Coturnix japonica: one gene and its partners. The protein of the gene in region 1 interacts with the protein of each later gene in a pairwise test. Links are inferred from orthologs where the notes say so. Each region holds a gene or a part of one and is shown in the gene's direction. Other genes may lie near its edges.

Evidence for each region.
Region 2: the proteins of cyclin-dependent kinases regulatory subunit 1 (region 1) and CBY2 interact in binary tests that used the Homo sapiens proteins (3 or more experiments, as listed by UniProt). The two-hybrid records come from large-scale screens. The link is inferred for Coturnix japonica from reciprocal best matches to the Homo sapiens genes CKS1B and CBY2.
Region 3: the proteins of cyclin-dependent kinases regulatory subunit 1 (region 1) and MEOX1 interact in binary tests that used the Homo sapiens proteins (3 or more experiments, as listed by UniProt). The two-hybrid records come from large-scale screens. The link is inferred for Coturnix japonica from reciprocal best matches to the Homo sapiens genes CKS1B and MEOX1.
Region 4: the proteins of cyclin-dependent kinases regulatory subunit 1 (region 1) and SEPTIN3 interact in binary tests that used the Homo sapiens proteins (3 or more experiments, as listed by UniProt). The two-hybrid records come from large-scale screens. The link is inferred for Coturnix japonica from reciprocal best matches to the Homo sapiens genes CKS1B and SEPTIN3.
Region 5: the proteins of cyclin-dependent kinases regulatory subunit 1 (region 1) and XIAP interact in a two-hybrid assay, tested with the Homo sapiens proteins (3 studies listed by BioGRID and IntAct). The two-hybrid records come from large-scale screens. The link is inferred for Coturnix japonica from reciprocal best matches to the Homo sapiens genes CKS1B and XIAP.

What each region holds. Positions count from the first base shown.
Region 1 is NC_029540.1:1,427,956-1,431,968, reverse strand, and holds cyclin-dependent kinases regulatory subunit 1, read left to right. Parts: upstream 1-1,633; 5' UTR 1,634-1,695; coding exon 1,696-1,754; intron 1,755-2,811; coding exon 2,812-2,939; intron 2,940-3,181; coding exon 3,182-3,234; 3' UTR 3,235-3,495; downstream 3,496-4,013.
Region 2 is NC_029516.1:150,251,728-150,256,092, forward strand, and holds CBY2 (spermatid-associated protein), read left to right. Parts: upstream 1-1,361; 5' UTR 1,362-1,461; intron 1,462-2,906; 5' UTR 2,907-2,912; coding exon 2,913-3,890; 3' UTR 3,891-3,989; downstream 3,990-4,365.
Region 3 is NC_029542.1:2,906,832-2,911,228, forward strand, and holds the start of MEOX1 (homeobox protein MOX-1), read left to right. Parts: upstream 1-1,568; 5' UTR 1,569-1,831; coding exon 1,832-2,258; intron 2,259-4,397. UniProt on the Homo sapiens protein: Mesodermal transcription factor that plays a key role in somitogenesis and is specifically required for sclerotome development. Required for maintenance of the sclerotome polarity and formation of the cranio-cervical joints.
Region 4 is NC_029516.1:45,099,063-45,102,812, reverse strand, and holds part of SEPTIN3 (neuronal-specific septin-3), read left to right. Parts: intron 1-313; coding exon 314-431; intron 432-887; coding exon 888-983; intron 984-2,983; coding exon 2,984-3,083; intron 3,084-3,553; coding exon 3,554-3,605; intron 3,606-3,750. UniProt on the Homo sapiens protein: Filament-forming cytoskeletal GTPase. May play a role in cytokinesis.
Region 5 is NC_029519.1:14,628,279-14,632,028, reverse strand, and holds part of XIAP (E3 ubiquitin-protein ligase XIAP), read left to right. Parts: intron 1-152; coding exon 153-186; intron 187-1,333; coding exon 1,334-1,534; intron 1,535-2,949; coding exon 2,950-3,143; 3' UTR 3,144-3,750.

The sequences.
Region 1 (4,013 bases):
GCCTAACCCATTGATATGGAGATCCATGGGGACCCATTGACATGGAGATCTATGGGGACCCATTGACACAGAGATCCATGGGACCCATTGACACGGAGATCCATGGGACCAATTGACACAGAGATCCATGGGACCCATTGACACGGAGATCCATGGGACCCACTGACATGGAGATCCATGGGACCCACTGACATGGAGATCCATGGGACCCACTGACATGGAGATCCATTGGGACCCACTGACATGGAGATCCATGGGGACCCATTGACACAGAGATCCATGGGACCCATTGACACAGAGATCCATGGGACCCATTGACACGGAGATCCATGGCACCCATTGACATGGAGATCCATGGGACACCCATTGACATGGAGATCCATGGGACCCCACTGACATAGAGATCCATGGCACCCATTGACATAGAGATCCATGGCACCCATTGACACGGAGATCCATGGGACCCATTGACACGGAGATCCATGGGACACCCATTGACATGGAGATCCATGGGACCCATTGACATAGAGATCCATGGGACACCCATTCACATAGAGATCCATGTGACCCATTGACACAGAGATCCATGGGATCCATTGACATAGAGATCCATGGGATCTATTGACATAGAGATCCATGGGACCCATTGACATGGAGATCCATTGGGACCCATTGACATGGAGATCCATTGACATAGAGATCCATGGGACCCATTGACATAGAGACCCAGGAACAGCCCATGACGGACAGACATCCATCTGACAGACATCCATTGAAGCCTCAAAGCCGGTGTTTACCCACGGTAACCGGTTCTTTACCCCACTCGGTGCCGGTCCATCTCCGTTATGAGCTCCCCAATTACTATTAGCATTACTAATAGCCCCGGTTACCGGCAGCGGTGACACACACACCTATAACAACACTGGGAGCTCCGGGACTCCCGAACAGCATAGAGGCGATCAGCGGCTCCCCCACAAGCACCGGCAACGCTGTGACCCGTTAATACCCGTTAATATACCCGGTAATACCCGGTAATACCCGGTAATACCCGGTAATACACCCGGTAATACCGGGACCGGACATCCCGGAAGCGCCGTTTCCCATCTCATAACACATAACCCCCGCCATGTTCGGGTTCAACCCAACAACACCGGAAGCTCCACACGACCTCAAGTTGCGGCCTACCCCCACAAACCGGGGCCTACGGAACCACCGGGAACCCCCTAAAGGCCCGGACCGCTCCCACAGGCCCTACAGGCCTCATTACAGCCCCATATGAGGCCCACCCGACCTAAGATGACCCACATGCTCACCGGGGCACCATGGGTCTCACGCCGGTCTCCTCCGGTCCCGGCGGCCTCAGCTCCCAGCACCGAGCGCCCCTCCCCCCGCCACGCCGCCACTCACTTCCGGTCCACGCCCCCCGTCACGTGACGCAAGAACCCTAAAGGAGAATGGGGGGGGGTTGGTGAAAGGGCGTGTCTCTTAGAGCAATCAACCAATCAGCGCGCGAATCGTTAAGCCCGCCTTCTGGGAGCTGACCAATGAGAGCGCGGGGCGGCGGCGTTTGAAAGCACCGTTGAGGGGAACCGGAAGTGGAGGTGGGGGAGGGGGGAAGCAACGGCCGCCGTGGGGTTGAGGAGAGGGGGCGAGGTGGGGGCTGCCGGGAAAGGGGCGGACCGGGAACGGGCGGCAATGGCTCACAAGGAGATCTACTACTCCGACAAGTACTTTGACGAGCAATACGAGTACCGGTGAGGATGATGGGGGGGGGGAATGGGGTTGTTGTTTGATGGGGGGGGGGGTTTGGGTGGGGGGGGCACCGGGTTTGGGCCTAGGCCTGAGGGGGGGGGGGGGAATGGGCCTAGGCCTGAGGGGGGGGGGGGGGGAGCTGGGTCTAGGCCTGAAGAGGGAGGGGGGGCTCCGGGTCTAGGCCTGATGGGGGGGGGGGCACCGGGTTTGGGCCTAGGCCTGAGGTGGGGGGGGGGTAATGGGCCTGGGCCTGATGGGGGGGCACCGGGTTTGGGCCTGAGTGGGGTGGGGGGCACTAGGTCTAGGCCTGAAGGAGGGGGGGGCAAGGGGAGGGAGGGGAGGGAGGGGGGGGTTCCGGGTCTGGGGCCTGATGGTGGGGGGGGGGGAATAGGTTTTGGCCTGGGCCTGATGTGGGGGGGGGGGGGGGGGCACTGGGTCTAGACCTGAAGGGGGAGGGGAGGCGCCGGGTCTAAGCCGAGGGGGGGAGGGAAAGAAGGGAGGGGAGCTCCGGGTTTGGGCCTGATGGGGGCACCGGGTTTGGGTCTGACGGGGGGAGATAGGGTTTGGGCCTGAAGGGGTTGGGGGTAATGGCCTAGGCCTGATGCGGGCTGGGGGGGCTCCGGGTTTGGGCCTAGGCTTGATCGTGGGGGGGGGGCATCGGGTCTGAGTCTGGACCTGAAGAGGGAGGGAAGGGGGACAAGGTTTGCTCCTGAATGGGGAGGGGGCTGCACTGGGTCTGAGCCCGAAGGGGGAGGAGTGTGGGGGGACAGGGACAAGGTCTGGGCGTGATGGGGGGGCACCGGGTCTGAGCCTAGGACTGAAGGGGGAGGGGGATGGGCAGGGGTTTGGGCCTGAGGGAAGAGGAGGGGGGCACCGGGTTTGGGCCCGAAGGGGGAGGGCTGGGCACTGGGTCTGGGCTGGTGGGTGTGGGGTGGGGGTGGGTAACGGGCCTGGGCCTGGACCTGGACCTGATTGGGGGTGGGGGGTAAGCATTGGGTCAGGGCCTGTGGGCGGAGCACTGTGTCACTGCCCCTGGCTGAGCAACCCCTGTGACCACAGGCACGTGATGCTGCCCAAAGACATCGCCAAGCTGGTGCCCAAAACCCACCTGATGTCCGAATCAGAGTGGAGGAACCTGGGTGTGCAGCAGAGCCAGGGCTGGGTGCACTACATGATCCACGAGCCAGGTGAGCCCCCGTATGGCCGCCCTATGAGCCCCCGTATGGCCGCCCTATGAGCCCCATATGGCTGCCCTATGAGCCCCCTATGGCTGCCCTATGAGCCCCCTATGGTTACCCTATGAGCCCCATATGGCTGCCCTATGAGCCCCCTATGGTTACCCTATGAGCCCCATATGGCTGCCCTATGGGACGTGGGCTCCATACCCACAGCCTGGCTTGAATCTGTTCTATATCCTATATCCCCACAGAACCACACATCCTCCTTTTCCGACGGCCGCTGCCTAAGAAGCCAGAGAAGTGAGCTCTCCCCGGGTCAGCCACAGCCCTCGGCTGCCTGGGCTACAAAGCACCTTCATCATCATCATCATCATCATCATCCTCCTCTTCTTCCTCTTCTCTTACATACTCTGCTCTCAGGAGCTTCCCTGTCGGGGGCAGAGCCACTGGGTGCCCCTGATGCTCATGAACTCAGTGCTATCTGGGCACCTGCAGCGGCTCAGCCCCAGGGCACAGCGCTGCGGGGATGGGGTTCTCAAAAGCTTCAATAAAAGGATATTTGGGAGCTGCTGTGTGCTGCAATTCTGCCTTTAAGGGGGGGTGGGAGGCAGGAGGAGCTCCTGGTGCATAGCAACAGCCCTTCCCTGGGTGGTTTTGGGGGCGTGCTATTCCCTCCCCCCCCCCCTCCGTTACCCACCGCCCTATGGACCCTCCCCAACTCCCCCCCCATGGACCTTCCCAACCCCCCCCCATGGACCCTCCCCAACCCCCCCCCCATGGACCCTCCCCACCCCCCCTCCCCCATGGACCCTCTCCAACAGCCTCCCCAAGGGCCCTTCCCAACCCCACCCCCCCCATAGGACCCTCCCCAACCCCCCACTCCCCCAATGGACCCTCCCCCCCGGACCCTCCCAGCCCCCCCCATGGACCTTCCCAACCCACCCTCCCCAGCCCCCCCATTGACCTCTTCCAACCCCACCCCCCCATGGACCCCCCACCTCCCCCCATGGACCCCCCCACCTCCCCCATGGACCCTCCCACCCCCCCCACGGACCCTCCCCAACCCCCCACCACCCCCCACGG
Region 2 (4,365 bases), on another chromosome or scaffold:
TGTCTTTACAATTCTGGTGTGTGTCTCCACATACATGTATGCACATCTGATGATATTCGCTAAATTGGATCCAAATATATTACTGTTTGAAGTTGTAACTTTCAACAAAGAAGTGACTTGCCAGAAGAACTTTATCCAACATTCAGGACAATAAGAAAATGCATAAGAAAAAGTGAAAGTATGCAGCTAACTTAGTTCCTAGGAGTTCTGGACCAAGCAGGCTTTGCCTGCTGATAAATCCACGGTGCCCTTGTCTCTGTTAGCTCAGTTTTCTGTCGGCTCTTAGAACTTAAAACTTTCATTTAAGGTCTGTGCCAGTGGTCCACACACTCAGGTATTCAGAAGTTCAGCTGCCTCCCCTGAGAGCTGTAGCAGCTGGACAGCACCCTGGCACTGCCATCTGACTGAAGGCCAACTACTTCTTAGGGGGATATTTTCCAGTTTCTCTTTGTAGGACCCCAGAACTTGAACAGAGGAGAATGAACCCCGGGGAGTTGTCATGGGAACTTCTGATTTACTTATTTATTGTGTTGTCTGAGATGAAATAGAAACAAGGAAAAAAATACAGAAGAGAATTGTATGCCTAAGTTTATTATCTTTGCAGAACACTGAAGCCAAACTATACCTTTAACTTCCTAAAGCAATAACAGTCACTTTGGGATTGATGTCAAGTTGGTAATTTTCACTGGAATAGACATTAATTGCTGTATTTATTATTCAAAAACCCTGATGACAGGAAAAAAGATGAAGAAATAATCCACATCTAAAAGATTAAGCAAATAAGAGAGAGAATGAGATTATTAGAAACATAAAGACATGGAAGCAGGAATAGCTGCTATAAATAATATCTAAACTTGTAATGCATGAATGCCCTGCATGTTCTGTTTTCTTCTTAATGGGGTTCAGTGATGATCTACTCTTTAACTTATAGTTACAGAAAAACTCATATCCATGTTGTCCTTTAAAAATAACTTCAGCTGTCATAGCGCATACACAGAAGGAAGTGGTTTTTGAACTTATCAGCATTGGTTCAGCCAGAGAATTAATGTGTTAGATTCAGAATAAAAGCAAAATTTCTTTTAGGAGAGCGTGATGGAGGGAGAATCCATCTAAACTGCTCTCAGTTATGTGCATCAGAGAGGGAAGCCTGGGTTCAAGAAAGGACGTGAGAGCTAGGCTACTGGAAAGGTCGTTTCCATGAGAAATGACCCAAATGTGCAATGCTGGGAAAAATAAAACAAAATGGGCTGTGAGGGGGGAGAGGGGGGAGCTCCTGGACTTGTGGAGAAGGGGCTGGCTCTGGGCGTGGTGATCGCATCACAGTGGGTTCCATTGTCCCATCTCATCACCATGCCCCCCCCATACAGAACTTGGAGCAGAACTTCAGGCTAAAAAGCCAAGCGGAGACCTGGCAGCTGTGCAGGGCAGTGAAGAGGGTAGAGTATCATCTCCAACAAGCAGGTGAGTACATGCTGGTATGTAATTTGGTACTGCCAAAACACCTATATATGCTTGATTTCATGCGGTCTCCCCCAACCCTGCTCCTCCAACCCATCTCCCCATCCTGTGGAAGGAATTTTTAGTTTGGGAATATGAATAAGGAAGGTGGGAAAATTTCTCTGAAGCCTGGGTTGACCTCTCCCCTGCAATACACAGGAGCTGATAGAGGTGCTGTCAAGTTTAATTGACCCCAGGACAACATCCTTCAATGCTGTATACATTATATACTGCTGTTTATCCTCAAAACTTGCCATATAAACACTTTAAACATAAGTGGCTTTAAATGCCTGCGCATGAAACACAGTGAAGGGTGGGTCTTGGCTTGTGATGCTGGCTGTTTTCTCATCAGGGTTTAGGGATCAGTTCCCCCTGTGATTCAGCTTCCCATCATGGGGATAATGACAGGGACATCAGCACCCTCTGAGGGAAAAGGACAGGTCTGTGTGAGGCAGGGAGCAACAAATTGCTCGCTGTGCTCTGAACACAATGTAAGGGGGAAAAATAAACGCGGAAATTGGCAAGCAGTTGCAAACAGTGGGAAATCCCTTTTAGCAGAGGAATGACATTATGCAAACACAAGTCTGATGTGAGATATACCAGATGGCAATGCGGAAGGCAGCTCTGAAAGTTAAGCAGAGACCTTATATCAATAAAATCAAGTGTTACGGCAAACAGACCCATATTGCAATTATTCCTTCAAGAAGAGATTTGGGGCTTTGAACAGTAGCAATATGTCTTTGAGCTTTCAAGCAAGTTTGGGAAGGCAAAGAAGGAGGTAGCTGTGGGTGGTGGGTCTCAGAAGTAACTTGGAGGAGCCCAGGGAGGCAGCAGCTGGTGAAGGTTGTGGGGCAAAACAGGACAAAGGGTTCAGTGTCCTGGCAGAGCTGGGCCATGGCTTTGACCCCCTGCCAAGTGCTTGGGACAGATACAGAGGCAAAATGACTGCCCACCAGTCATATGGCAGCACTGGATGCCATATAGGACAGGAGGGTGACTGGAAGGCTTTGGGGCAAGAAGGATAAAAACTGGCAGTCAGCCTACCATTTTTTTTTTATCAGAAAAAAACCCAACAGTTTTATGCTGTGGTAAAAAGAAACAAATACTTTTGTTTTAAAAAGCAGTTCAATCTCAATCTCATTTCATATGACTTTCTGCATTTTATTTATCTTCCATGACTGTAAAACTGATGCAAGGGGATGAAAAGAGAGTCCAGGTTTTTGTATCAAACTTTGTGGTGCCACCAAGGCTTTGCCTTCTCCACTAGTGCCTGTTTTCTCCTGTTCTTGCAGTCCTAATCAAGCTTCATCTCCAGCTTCTGTGTCATCTAGTCCTTGCCAGTGGGCAGTGGCCTCCTGCAGTGGCCTCCTGCAGAAGTCTTTTCACAATCTTTCTCTGTTTGCCAACAGATAACCATGTCTGCTTTTGACCTGACAAACCAGAGCACACGGGGTACAAGGCCCGAGATGGACTGTGTCTTCCCACGGATGAAACTGAGGGATGAGACATTTACATTTATTGATGGTAAATGGGTGAATGAGGTGCACTGCCAGCCAACATTTGCATCCCAGAGGAGACTCCTTAACAAGAAGACAGAGAACGAGTGGAGCATCTGGGAGGAGAACAGAGCCCTCTGGGAGGAAAACCAAGTCCTCCGTATCGAAAACAGGATGCTCTGGGAAGAAAATAAGGCTCTGCAATATCTCCAGACACAGAACAAAGGTGTCCAGCTTGTTTACAGTGACATCATCCAGCAAAGCCTCCAGAAAGATAAGCTGTCCTCGTTCTTCCCAGAGAGGCATTTAGGTTTTCAGGTCAGTCCAAGCAACAAGGCTCTCCAGCTGGTCAGAGAAAGAAGCAGCTTCTTAGAGTTTTTCCATAAGCAGAATAGAACAGTTCCCAGCATTTGGAAAGATCAACCAACCTTCATAGTCCAAGAAGAGAACAAAGGCGCCAGCTCAGTTCAGAAGGTCACTGAATGTACCACAGCTGCGGGAGAAGGTAGCCCTGGCACATCCTCCCAGGAGGAGCATGATGCCAAAGAGGAGAGCACCACGCCAACCCAGAATGACACCAAGATTGCACCAACCGCAGAGGATGATAATGAAATCCTTCAGGCTCTCCATGACTTATACCAGATTCTCCAGGTGTTCCTCAAGGAGAAATGTCTTGCTGATGACAGAGACAGCCTTCACGCTCTCCAAGATGAGAAAAAATTCTTCCAGGAAGAGTACAAGAAATTGAAGCTGCAGCTGAATAACGTGAAAAACACTGTGTCAGACATTACAACTCAACTGGAAATGCTGGAGAAAGAGCTCATCGCCATCACTTTCCCAATATATGAAGAAGAAGGGAAGAACATGGCAAACGAGTTTCAACTTGGAGAGATTTGAAGCCTGGTGCTAAACCTGCTAGTTCTGTTTCCTGGAAAGTGCCTCTCTTTGTTTCCAGGAACTTAATAAAATACAAGCAGAGCATGAACTAAAATTAAAGCTGGAGAGTATTGTGTTATTCTGAAACTTTCTTATATTACCTGGGCAGATTTCAACTTTTGGTAGCGTGGTGCCTGGAAAGCATGCTTTTCAGCCTTTTGGGGGGGATTTTCTGCTAATGGAGAGCCTGCATATTCAAAAAAGAGTTCATTCTTTTCACTCTTAATTTGAGGTACCTTAGGTTGGCCATACTTTTCAAAGAGATGATTGGCACTTCCTGAAAATAAGAAACTCAGATGGGAACTGAGTTTGGGTCCCTAGTTGTCCCCTTCTTATGGCTGGCCATGTTCAGTGGCTGAACTGTACCAGCTGCTATGAACCAGCCTTCTCTCTCACACAGAAAATGTGGTCTCTCACAGGATACAGAGTCATGAAA
Region 3 (4,397 bases), on another chromosome or scaffold:
GCATAGACATAAATGAGAAGTAGACGATTGTTTAATTAGCTGGAATTGGGAGTAGGGCTGGAAAACACAGACCTAGGCTTGAGCTCATGCAAATCTCTACTACCCCAGCATGACTTCGGTGGGTGAACACAAGTGAAATATTCTGCATTGACAAAACCACTCTAGGCTATACCATGGACCCTTCTGGTGCCCAAAATATCCACACATCCTTTGCCACCTGGCCTTCCAGACAGAGCAATCTGTTCTTTTTCCTCCTGCCAGGCAGTGGGAAACGTGTCTGAATGTTTGCTCTCTGAACAGATTGAATTATGTAGGAGAGCCCTTCCTGGAGGATGATTTGTGTTTGGCATTTTGCAAGAGAGTCACATTAATGTGAAGGTAAAAGGTGATGTTCTTGATCAGAAAGATCTGGGCTAAGCCCACCTGATTGCTTGGAAAAGCCCAAGCTATAACCCAGCAGGGATTGGGATGAGCAGACTTCTCCCTCCATTTGATTCCTTTAAATGTCACAACTCTGAATTATACAGAAGCCAAATAAAAGTAGCACTTAAAGCACTTAAAGAAAGAAAAACGGAGGCTCTGTGCCCATCTGATAAATCCCTCTGTGTCTACGAGAGCACAAACTCAGCCCAAATGGTGGGATAAAGGGAAAGAGGCGCACACCTATAGGGAGGCATAGCAAAGCAATGGAGCAGGTCGCAAGCAGATTACAGAAACACAGCACATGTGGCTGTATAAATTACCCCTAAAAACACACAAACAGTTGCAGTAACCCCAGTGCAGCCCTGCAGTGATATTTGGGGTGTTCCCAGGTGCCAACCCTCTGTGTCAGAGGGATGGAGAGCAGATTCCCTGCTAACACCCATGCAGCAGCAGCGGCAGCTCCGGGGTCTGCGAATCTGCTTTGTGTTAAGAAGAACCATAAAACTTTCAGCAAAAGATGAAAAACACGTCTCACATTGGCACAAAGGCAGATTTCCTTGTAGGAAGGAGTGGCATAAAGTAGGATAGAGAAAGAATAACTGCCACCAGCAGTAACCATCAGCAAATACAAGTGTTACCGAGCTAAAAGAACAATAATCCCTCCAAAACTTTGCACGTGCACAAAAGTCACCTAAAACAAAACGTTACAACCAGGCCTTAAATCAGTAAATAATCAGTGAAGTGCTTTCTTACTTTTATTTCCCACTTCGCTTCTTGGCTTCAGGAATCTGCTGAATTCCGTATGAAGGGCTTTTTCCAACCTCAAAACTCGGGGAATTTTGTTAACAGTGCAATAAAAATAACTTCATAGTGTCACAGGGAAACATTAAAGCCCTTTTTTGTGCACTGCTCTTCCCTCCCCCCTACCCCTTTTTTTCTTTTTTGGGGGGGAAGAAAAAAATACAGACATTGTTTCTTTAAAAGTCTCCATCTGCAAATCCCATTAGATGTGCATATAAGGTTTCGGATGATTAATAGGTGCTGCTTTGCTTTGGTTGGAGGGAGCGGGTGTGTGTACGTTAACCCCTCCCTCCCCTCTCTCACATTTCACTTCACAAAGTTGTCACTCTCTCCCCAACATAGTATTTAAAAAGTGTTTCCCTCATGTCCAGCACTTCACAAGGACTCCAGCATCAGCTTTGGGACTCTGTTTGGGGCGATCGCCTCCTCCATCCATTTGGGACAATGAACACCTCAAGAAGAGTTTCCAAACTAACAAACCTCCAACCTCACAAACCCCCCAGCCAAAGTGTCGTTTAGGGAGGAAATCTGGGCTGTCAAATCTGGAAACATTTCCCCTCCTCTCCTCTCCTGCTTGAGGAACCTGAGTGACGAGCGTGGGACGAGGATGAACCCCACCGGAGGCAGCTGCATGCGCAGCCCCCAGTCCCCAGCCCCACTCTGGGGGTGCCTGCGGGGTGCCGACGTCCCCACAGCCCCAGGGTTGGGTCACTGCCCCCCAGCCCCTTTCTCCTTCCACCCCAAGGTGGATTTTGCTGCTTATTCTGAATTCTCAGCCTCCTGCTTGCTGAGCTCTGCCCACTGCGTCCCACCTGAGGAGCAGCCCCCAGCTTTCCGTCCTCACTCTGAGTGGCAGCAAGCAACAACAGAGGCCAGGAGACTGCTGAGCCCAGGGCTGGTGTTGGCCTCTGGGGACACAGAGAGCCCCAACGTCGTGAGCACAGCAGCGGGTGTAAGTGAAGATTACGAGGTGCCAGTAAACAGCACGATGGAGACAGAGAGAAAAGGATCCAAAAGGAAAAAGGAGCACTCAGGTAGGTGGCGTGGAAGTGGGGGTGTGGGGTGGGATGGGGAGAATATCTCATGGAGTAAAGCTGATGGAGGAAATATTTTGTGATTCTTGACTAGGGAAAACTATGCAATATCTCAATGGAAATGAAGTTGCTTGTCCCTTGATGACCTTTGGTGTTTGAGTTTTGCTCCTTATTGGCTGAACCCAACCCTTTAGGCAGCAGCTCAGTGCCAACTCAGTGCCATGCTGCGCTCAGAGCCCTAGGATGGCAGATCCATCCCACTGCTCTGCTGCAGTCCAAGGGTGATAGAATGGGGATCAAAGGGCTAAGGTCCCATCAGCTGCCCGTGCTAGCTGGGAATGCCACTCTGGGGTTTTGAACTGCCCACCAGTAGAATGCCCAGCAACATGGGAAACAATCAGTTTTCATTGTGCCATCCTTGCCAACAAAGCACCTTCTTCCTGAAGCATTCAGGAATTACAGACATAAGACATCTGGTTTGTTACTATTTCAGTTCTCCCGATATGTGAAATATGCAGAACATTGCTTTCTCCTAAGGAAGCTGTTAAGATTCAGATGCTTCCATGCAGACATTTTCTACAGTATTCATTTGCAAACCACAGAGTATTGAGAAGCAGAGGGTATTTTCCAGCATCCCCATTTTATGGTTTCAGAGCCAAGACATGGAAATGTTTCTAAGATGTAGAAAAGATCAAAATGCACTTAAATCCTCAAAACTTTCTTTAAAGAACCAATAGATTCAGAGCAGCTACAGAACGGTTTCACTGTGTGATAGTAATAGGAGTATCTGCAGTAAGACCTCACGTGTGAGCACACACATCCCCTTCTCTTCCTCTACCAGTGTTCATTATTTAGATGCCATTTTCAGCCCTGGTGTCCCAGGCACAGCAGTGACCTGAAGATGTCAGTTGGCTTTGGGGGAGCTTTCACAGCTGCCCCTGTGCCTGCCACCCTCTATTCTATGCTGTACAATTTAGCAAAGCATTTATAGAAACCCCTTTGCAATTACAGCATTAAAGAGGCTGAAAGGTGTTGTAATGACTTTGGGCTTCATACATCTTTCATTTACTACCAAGGAAAGACCTAACAACACCACTCAAGCAGCAAGGAAATTCCAAGCCCTAACCCTAAACTAAATTAGCCTTTAAAAGCATAAGATAAGCACTGAAAGTTCTGGGATGCCCACTGGGTGGAGGTTGAGTCTAAAGAAACGCCTCCCTCTGATTTCACACGTTGAATGTTGTTGAGAATGGCCAACTGCAGACAGGCAGTTTGGATACCCCAACTTTAGCTGATGATTAAGGCATGAGCTGAAGGATAAGACAGCAAGAAATAGGCATTGCTGTAATGATGTGTAGTAACATAGTGATTCTGACAACTTTGCTAAGTCATGCCTTTGGGTAAAGAGGGTGCTTCATGCTTTCAGGTCCCATTAACAGCCACAATGGCATAGAAAGCAGAACATAAGGGCAGGTAGAAACTGAAAACCTGAGCAAGAAAAGTGTAGGGAAGTCCCTCAGCAATTTAAAGTGATCTGGGGGCAGAGCTCCATCTGTCACCACCCCGTGTGCTCCACTCCATGAGGTGCCCACTGAAGTTACTTGTGGTTATTACTTTATCGCTGGCTGCCAAATGAATCAGCTCCCCATGAAGTCACTTCACTTGGCCAACGTTCCCAAGAGCTTTCAGGATTTTATGCCCCGTGTGACAGCAAAATCCATCTTACTACTTGATTTGCAATAAATCTGCCCTCAAACTCTTTACTAGGGGGAGAAAGCAACGTTATGCAGATACTTTGGATTTTTATTATGCCTTCTGCTGAGGGAAAAACTGCACTGACAGTGGTTTGCAGAATAACAAGCACCAGGTGCCTCCACCAGGGCTGTGGATCACCACAATGACCAAACAACCTGTGTTACCATTGGTGACCCCCATGCTTGAGCTTAAGCTGCTCTGAGGGATCGGAGAACCCCCTGAAATGCCCAAATCCTGCATTGTGTGGTCCTTTCACCTTCCCCAAAGCAGTTTGCCAGCTAAGCCTCTCTGCCATACATCTCCTTTCAACACCAAGTGGGGCACTGCCTGCTCTGTTCCCAGAGGCTATTTCAGATGATTCACATTGTTTGGAGATGAAGACCA
Region 4 (3,750 bases), on another chromosome or scaffold:
CAGTTCCCTGTTCTTCCTGATCTCCTTCATGCCACTTCATATGGCAGATATACACCCTGTACTGCTCAGTCTCAGCCACGGGACCAGGATTCCTTCCAGCAGGGCTGGATGCTATTAGCTTAACTTCAGGCATTGCAGGGCTTGAAAGGGTCTGGATGACAAAGGCAGGAGAAACACAATTGTGTTTTCTTTGGGAGTGGGCAGGATGGATGGGAACATGGAGGTCTCGCTGATGCCCTGATGCTGGGACAGTCACTAGAAGGGCAAGGAGGGTAAAGTGACCCCTTCCATGTTGTTCCTTCTTGGGCTGCAGCCTGCGGCCCTTGGACCTGGAGTTCATGAAACATCTCAGCAAGGTAGTGAACATCATCCCGGTTATTGCCAAGGCTGACACCATGACCTTGGAGGAGAAGACTGAATTCAAACAAAGAGTGAGTATCTCTCCTTCTGCATGGGATCCCTCCCTTCCCTGGCTGGGAGATTGGAGAAATGAGCCATATCCTTTCTGCTGGGAATGCAATTCAGTCCACAGGGCAGTTAGAGGCCAGCATTGGATTGGTGGGTAAGTCCTGGCACTGCCCTGAAGATGCAGCTGTCCATGGCTCTGAGATCACATCTAATAGAGGGGGAAGAACAGCAGGCATCCCTGTGACATTCCATGATATGTTCGGTCATGGGAATTACAGAGCCAAATAAGTAGATTGGGATGGGGAAGAAAGACTTGTTACTGTTATTGTGTGTCCTCACTTTGCTTCACACCTCAATGGGGACAGTCCTTCTAGCCTTTCCCCACTGGAAGGATGTCCCAGATATGTCTGCCCAACCATCCTGCCTGCCTTCCCTTCAGGTTTATGTTGCTTTGTGCTCCAAAATTTATCTCTGTCCAGGTGCGCAAAGAACTAGAAGTGAATGGGATCGAGTTTTACCCTCAGAAAGAATTTGATGAGGACTTGGAGGATAAAACAGAAAACGACAAAATCAGGGTAGGAAACATTTTATTGTGGGAGGGGAAGGGTGGTTGAGGGTTGGTCAGATTTAATGAGTAAAACAGACATGTGTCACTAGGTTTTAAGTGCTTCATGCTCTCTGAGCAAAAGGTGCAGTGGACACAAGAGAATGCCATTCATCCTTCCTAGTTTAATTTGTCCCTGTCATCTCCAGAGGGTGCTAGGAAGGCTGAGTGAGGATGGACTGTACTTCACCTCCTCTTGCTGAATGTTGTTTGGCCTCTGCTAAGGACAAAAGGGCCAAGTTCATCCCTGTCCCAAACAATCATCTCCTGAGCTCAGGCCAAACTCTACCTGAAAAGCAGTCCAGAGCATTGTCCTGCCAATTCCTTTGAGAAGGGATGTCTCATTCTTTCTACCTCAGAGAGGTATAAACCATCCAATTTCCAACTTGTGTTTGTTCATGGTCAGGTTGTACCCAGGATTATATGTGTCCTTGTGCCAACACTGACCTGAACATTTCTCCTACCTACTGGTCCCATCAACTAGAGATCAGTCTTATCCTGTGCTGGCCTTATTCTGGTCAGCTAAATGAGACAAGCTCCTTTGGCTGAGCTTCCCATTTTCCTCTATTCCATTATTACTTTATTATGTGCCTGTTCTAGTTTGATTTGATTTTCTGGCACTGGTGTGGGTACCCAATACTCCTGTCTTTTCTGAGGTCTGAACTGCTAAGCCCTTGGACCACATGTGCTCTCTGAGCAATCACATCACACTGGTGACGCATGGTCATCCTGTGACTGACTGGCACATGGGATCCTTCCCCTCCTTCAGTCATTTCTTGTGCACAAACTCAAAAGTCATAGCAGAACTTCTTGGTGTTGTTCCCTAAAAGCTGCTCTCCGTACCTCAGACTTACATAGATCTTTCTGGATAATAACCCAGTCTGCCTCTGTACAGACAACTCCTCCTGGCTTTGTGACACTTCTGCTTTTAGTTAGCCCACTCTTTAATTTTAGGGCTTAACTATTCACAGAAATATTGTCTTCTGTGGTAATTGCCAGGAAACTCTAGCAGTAACTAACTGCCTGGCAGCCTGACACTTGCTCTTTCAAGCTCCCTAGCTGCCATAGCCCCAGCAGAGATTCCCACCTCCCCCGGATTCATTAATCATTTCCCATTTGGCAACACATCACACTCTCTGGGGGAGACCAGATGGGTTTTGCTTCTCCTCCAAACTGCTACTGTTTGTGAGGAAGGCACCACAATTTGTTCTGTGCTTCAGCCTAATTGCCCTGGGTTTGGCAGTCTCACATGTAAGAAATAAACAAAATAATAGAGTAAATAATAATAAAGAACAAAATATCCCATTCCTGTGGTAATTGCAATCCCTTCCTAGGGAAGTCTACAAACCAGGATAAATCTATGAATAACCAGACAGCCTTATGGATAGTAGTAACTCATGCACCCTGTTCTCTGGAAGCATGAATTTTCTCCCTGTGTGTAAAGCTACCTTGATCCACAATAGTCTCACCTACTGTCCCACCTCCCAGGGTCTTCTGGCCTTCCTCAGTGCAACCATTTCAGTAACTGATCTTTGAATGTTCTGTTGAGGGGATTATTGTGAAATTTTCTAGCAAAAAACTGCAAATTTGATGAGAAATACTCTCAGCAAACTATTCCTGTGAGGAGCCCCAGGATGACACTCACCTGGTATGTCAAAGCGCTTCCTCTCTGGTCACCTTGCCCTTCAGAAATGCTGGAGGTGTGTGCAGAAAAGCTTTACTCCCTTCTCTGGAGTTTTTGTCATTGATGTAAGGTACACACCAAGTCCAGGGGGTGCAAGGACACTGGTGAAACAAGAGCCCAAAATGCTATTGGTAGCAACGATGAGTGAAGTTTTGCTCTGCAGAATCTCCTCCCTTGCAGAAGGCTTTGCATTTGGTGAGTTGCAAGGAGGAGAGGTGGCTAAGGAACAGTGATGGTGCTGCTCTCTGGAACAGGTTTGATAGGTCTCTCCACCTGTCTTTCCCTAGCAGGAAAGCATGCCCTTCGCAGTAGTGGGCAGTGACAAGGAGTACCAAGTGAATGGCAAAAGAGTCCTGGGCAGGAAAACACCTTGGGGAATCATTGAAGGTAAGGGAATTCTTGCTTTTGGGAGATGATGACAGGGTCCTGATAACATGTCCCATTGCTACTTTCCCATGCCTTTGCCTTTGTGGGTTTTTTGGAGTTTTTGTATTAGTTTGTTTTGTTTTGTTTTGTTTTGTTTTGTTTGAAGCCAAGCAAGAACTCTCAAATAGCTCTGCTTGGAGAGAGCTGCCATTGTCAGTGCGGTACTACTATTGCTAACTAGCAGAACCATTCTCAACACCATGGGGTGTGTGAAGCTGAGCTCCTTGGTTTTCCAATGAAAATCCACCTGTGACCACTCAGCATATCTGCTCAATGCCTGAGAGCTTATCTGCTGTTCACACAACTGTCCATTCTTTCTGAAGCATGCCACCTGAAACATGCATGTCCCATAGCAATGACCATCCCATGCTCTGTAACGACCAGCAGGTTGCTGAAAAACCACACATAACATTTCCTTGCTTTCTTTTCAGTGGAAAACCTCACTCACTGTGAATTTGCCCTGCTTCGAGATTTTGTCATTAGGTAAGGCCGCAGTCATTCCCATGATTCTCATCTTTTGATGAAAAGGGAATCTTCCTGAGACCCTCTTCAATTGCAATAGCCCTTATGGGAGGGAATACAAAGCACTTCTTCAGGCAGTAAAAGCTTAAGTGGGGTAGTGTTGGAC
Region 5 (3,750 bases), on another chromosome or scaffold:
GTTTAGAGCAGAGAAAATCTGCTCTAACTATAGTAGTTTTACTCAATAAAATAACTGAGGTCAAATAGCTATTTTGTGTCTTATAACTGTATAGGTCTCCTCGTACTCATTCCAGAATTGTAATTTTTTTCATCTTTCTATTTATTTTTTAGATAGAAGCTGCTGAAGTTTCAATACTTCCTGAAGGTATATAGTAAAAATAACAATAATAATAATAAAACCAAATTTCTAAGTTAACTCTATTATATTTTTCAAAAATGGCAGGCAAATTGTTGGGTGATATTCTTTTACTGCTTTGTTCCTTCTAAATTGCACAATGAATTTTGTTTCTCGTGTGATAACTCTAATCATCAGTGGATAAATACTGCATTGAATTAGAGAAGTTACATGATGAACACTGCAGAATACTGAAACAAAGTGATTGTTGTTGATTTTCATGAGGTGGGAAGACTTACATTGCAAAAAGACAAGGAATCTAGGAAGCCGAGGAAGCTTAAATGACTTATGTGGAGGAATGTGTTATGGTAAAATAATGTTTCTTATGAATATGAGAACGCTGAGATGGTAAAAGAAACAATAGGCAGGCAGTCATGCTGCAGCGCGATGTGGAATGAAAGCTCTTGCTGATAAGAGTGCTTACACAAGATCTATTTTAAAAGCTTTTCAAATACATAGGACACACTGCTGGAAAATCTATTCAAGCAATTACATTGAAAAAGAGAGAGGAGGAAGTCCCATAGACTGAAGAGCAGTTGTGTCCTAAATGAGTGGTGTGTGTTATCCTGGGAAGACTGACTTCAGAAATTCTGAAGTGATTGCGCTTGTGTTTCGATTTCATAAATTCATATTGTTGTATTGATTTCTATTATCAGATGGATGGGTTGTTTTTCTTTTCTGAACTGAATTACAACTAATGTAAAGTTAGCAAATACTTTAGTATTTACTGTTCCTTGGGATTTATGATGATTTCAGTTAATGTTCAGCTTTGGACTTTGTTTCACAAATTATGTAGGACATGTGATTTAAGGAATTGTGTTGAAAATGTTGAAGTAGTTGATTTGAATCGCAAGCCTAGGAGGATTTCCATACTATAAGCAGATGAAGAGAGTCTGGGAAAACAAGGACTGAAAAGCTCTCGAGTTTTCCAATGCAGTACTTAAAAGCAGCATAACTCTCAAATCAGAAATGCAGTTCTTTTTGCTAAATATCTGCAAAGGTGTTTTAACTATAATGAATACAATCAGATATTATGTTAAATATATATATATGTATATATATATATGTATATGTATGTTAAATTGTGGTGTTCTTTTCTTTTCCTTTATTGTTTTAGATGACCTCTTACAGAATCAGTTGGTACAGAACGCTGTACACATGGGTTTCAGTTTGTCTGAGATTAGGAGCACTATGGAAAAGAAGTTGCACGTGTCTGGAGAAAGCTATACGTCTGTTGAGGATCTGGTAGCAGACTTAATAAGTGCTCAGAAAGAAAATATAAAGGGAGAACCACCAAAGGAAAGCCCGCTTGAGCAAGGTGAGCTTAGTAAACTGTAAAACCTACATGTGTACTTTCACAATAACTTGTTTGTCTATGAAGTATATCCTATCATTAACTATTCATTCTGCCCTCTGACTCAAGTATTGCTTAATATGAAGTTACAATATTGGAGCTTAAAGTTTTATATCTTATTTTTGGGCATCAAAGAAGTGGAGCAAGGGGGTGTTAAAAAATATTTGAGGTTAGTAGAATGTCACGTGCAAAATATATTTAGTATTAATACCACAAAACATATTGAAATAATAGTTCAGTACCCTCTGAGGTTAGCTTTTTAGCCAGTGTTACTGTGACAATGGCAAGGATAATTGTAGATATGGGGAAGTAAACACAATTTATTGTCAAATATTCAGTGTACAAAAAATTTAATACTACACTGCTAAAATGTTTCAAGTGTAAAATTGGTGCCATTACTAACAGCACTGAATAGAAGCATTCTCCTTCCTGGCCAATAAGGAACTGCTCCAGTTGCTACTGAACAACATTCCTTTTTAATTATTTACGTTGCAACTATGTTTGGGCATACAAGTCATTCTCAGAAAAGCCATTGTGGTATGCCCTGCTGATTGACCAGAAACAAGTTGTCCCACTCAAGAGCTTATTTGTAGTTTAAAGACAACCATATGGATGAATTCAGAGGGAGAGAAAAGCCCATCTGGTTGGCATGATAGACAGAGAGCTCACTAGCCCGTCCCTTTTAATAACATTTTTCATGGATATTATGCAGAGAAAGAACTTGCAATGAAGATGGGCATTATTTTTGTGACTGACTGCAGGGAACTTTCCCCATGCTGCAGAAGGCTTTTGTAGTGTGTATTTTCAAATGAGGCTTACTAGAAATTGCAGAGCTAATCTACAATGCAAAACAAATTGTTTCTGTATGACAGTTTTTTAAGCTTTTGAAGTATAGGCATTTTCATAAACAGAAGGACGGAGGGAAGTGATATCCTCATTCTTTAGCCTGAGGAAAATTGCTGGGGAAAAGTAAATCCAAATTACTTAACCAGGATTGATTATCCTTTCTTCCACCTTCTGTGTAGGTTTTGAGAAAGCTGTCTGTGGGAAGTCTCTAAAAAAACAAATGGCTCCTGGTTGCAGTATGTGTATCTTAGATTCCACAGATATTTCAAGGTCTTACCAACAGAGATGGCTGAATTCCCTGCACTGGTCTGGGAGGTGGGGGGAAAAAACAGACGTTGAAGATTTCATTTTAGTTTGGTTTCCCGTCTTGTGTGGTTTTGTCTGTGGGTTGTGGGTTTTTTTGCCTTTTTTAAAGGTGTAACTTCTAAATGACATGGAAAGGAAATCCTCTGTCTTTCTGTGGAGGGGGGAAAAAATGAGATGAGATACTATGAAAACATACTAACTACTTTCTGTGTGTTTATTCTTCTTAGATCTCAGTATCGAAGAGAAGTTAAGACGCCTGCAGGAAGAAAAGCTCTGTAAAATCTGTATGGCTAAAGACATATCAGTAGTCCTCATTCCCTGTGGTCACCTGGTTGCTTGTAAGGAATGTGCTGAAGCAGTCAATAAATGTCCACTGTGTTGTACAAATATTATAAAAAGACAGAAAATTTTTATGTATTAGTGAGATGGTGCAGTACTGTAGATGTAACTGTTTCCTGCTTTATTTCTTTAAACGTGTGTAATGTGATAACAGACGGTTGGGTGTTCACCAGTCTAGCACACACGGCGCATCTCACTTTGGAGATAATGTAAACAGTAAAGCTTTAATCAACACCCTGAAAAATGAGTTGACTGTCAGAAGCTGCTAGATTTTTGTTTAAAGCACTCATCCTACTGCCTCCTTAGTGCTCTCCTTACTTTCTGTGCTTTTACTTTGAAGTTGTGTTGTAAAATAACTGTTACTGTATTTTCAGCTCTGTTTGTATTCATGCTTCTACTAATCTTCTGTGAATACAGGAGTTAAGTATACACATGTTCTTTCAGGAAATGGCACAGGAAAACTGGGGGTTTTGATTGAGTAGCACTGATGCTGCATTTTTTTCCCCCACTAACAAGTATGAGAAATCAGAGAGAGTATATAAGTAGCAGAAAAAAACCTGCTTTTTATAGACCATGTTTCTACTAATTACCATTTGCTCAGCTCATTCGTCAAAAATAGACCTGCTTAATTCTCTCTTCTAGTGGGACCAGGGGTAACAGCCTCATCAGAGGAAATAAATTGCTTTAGG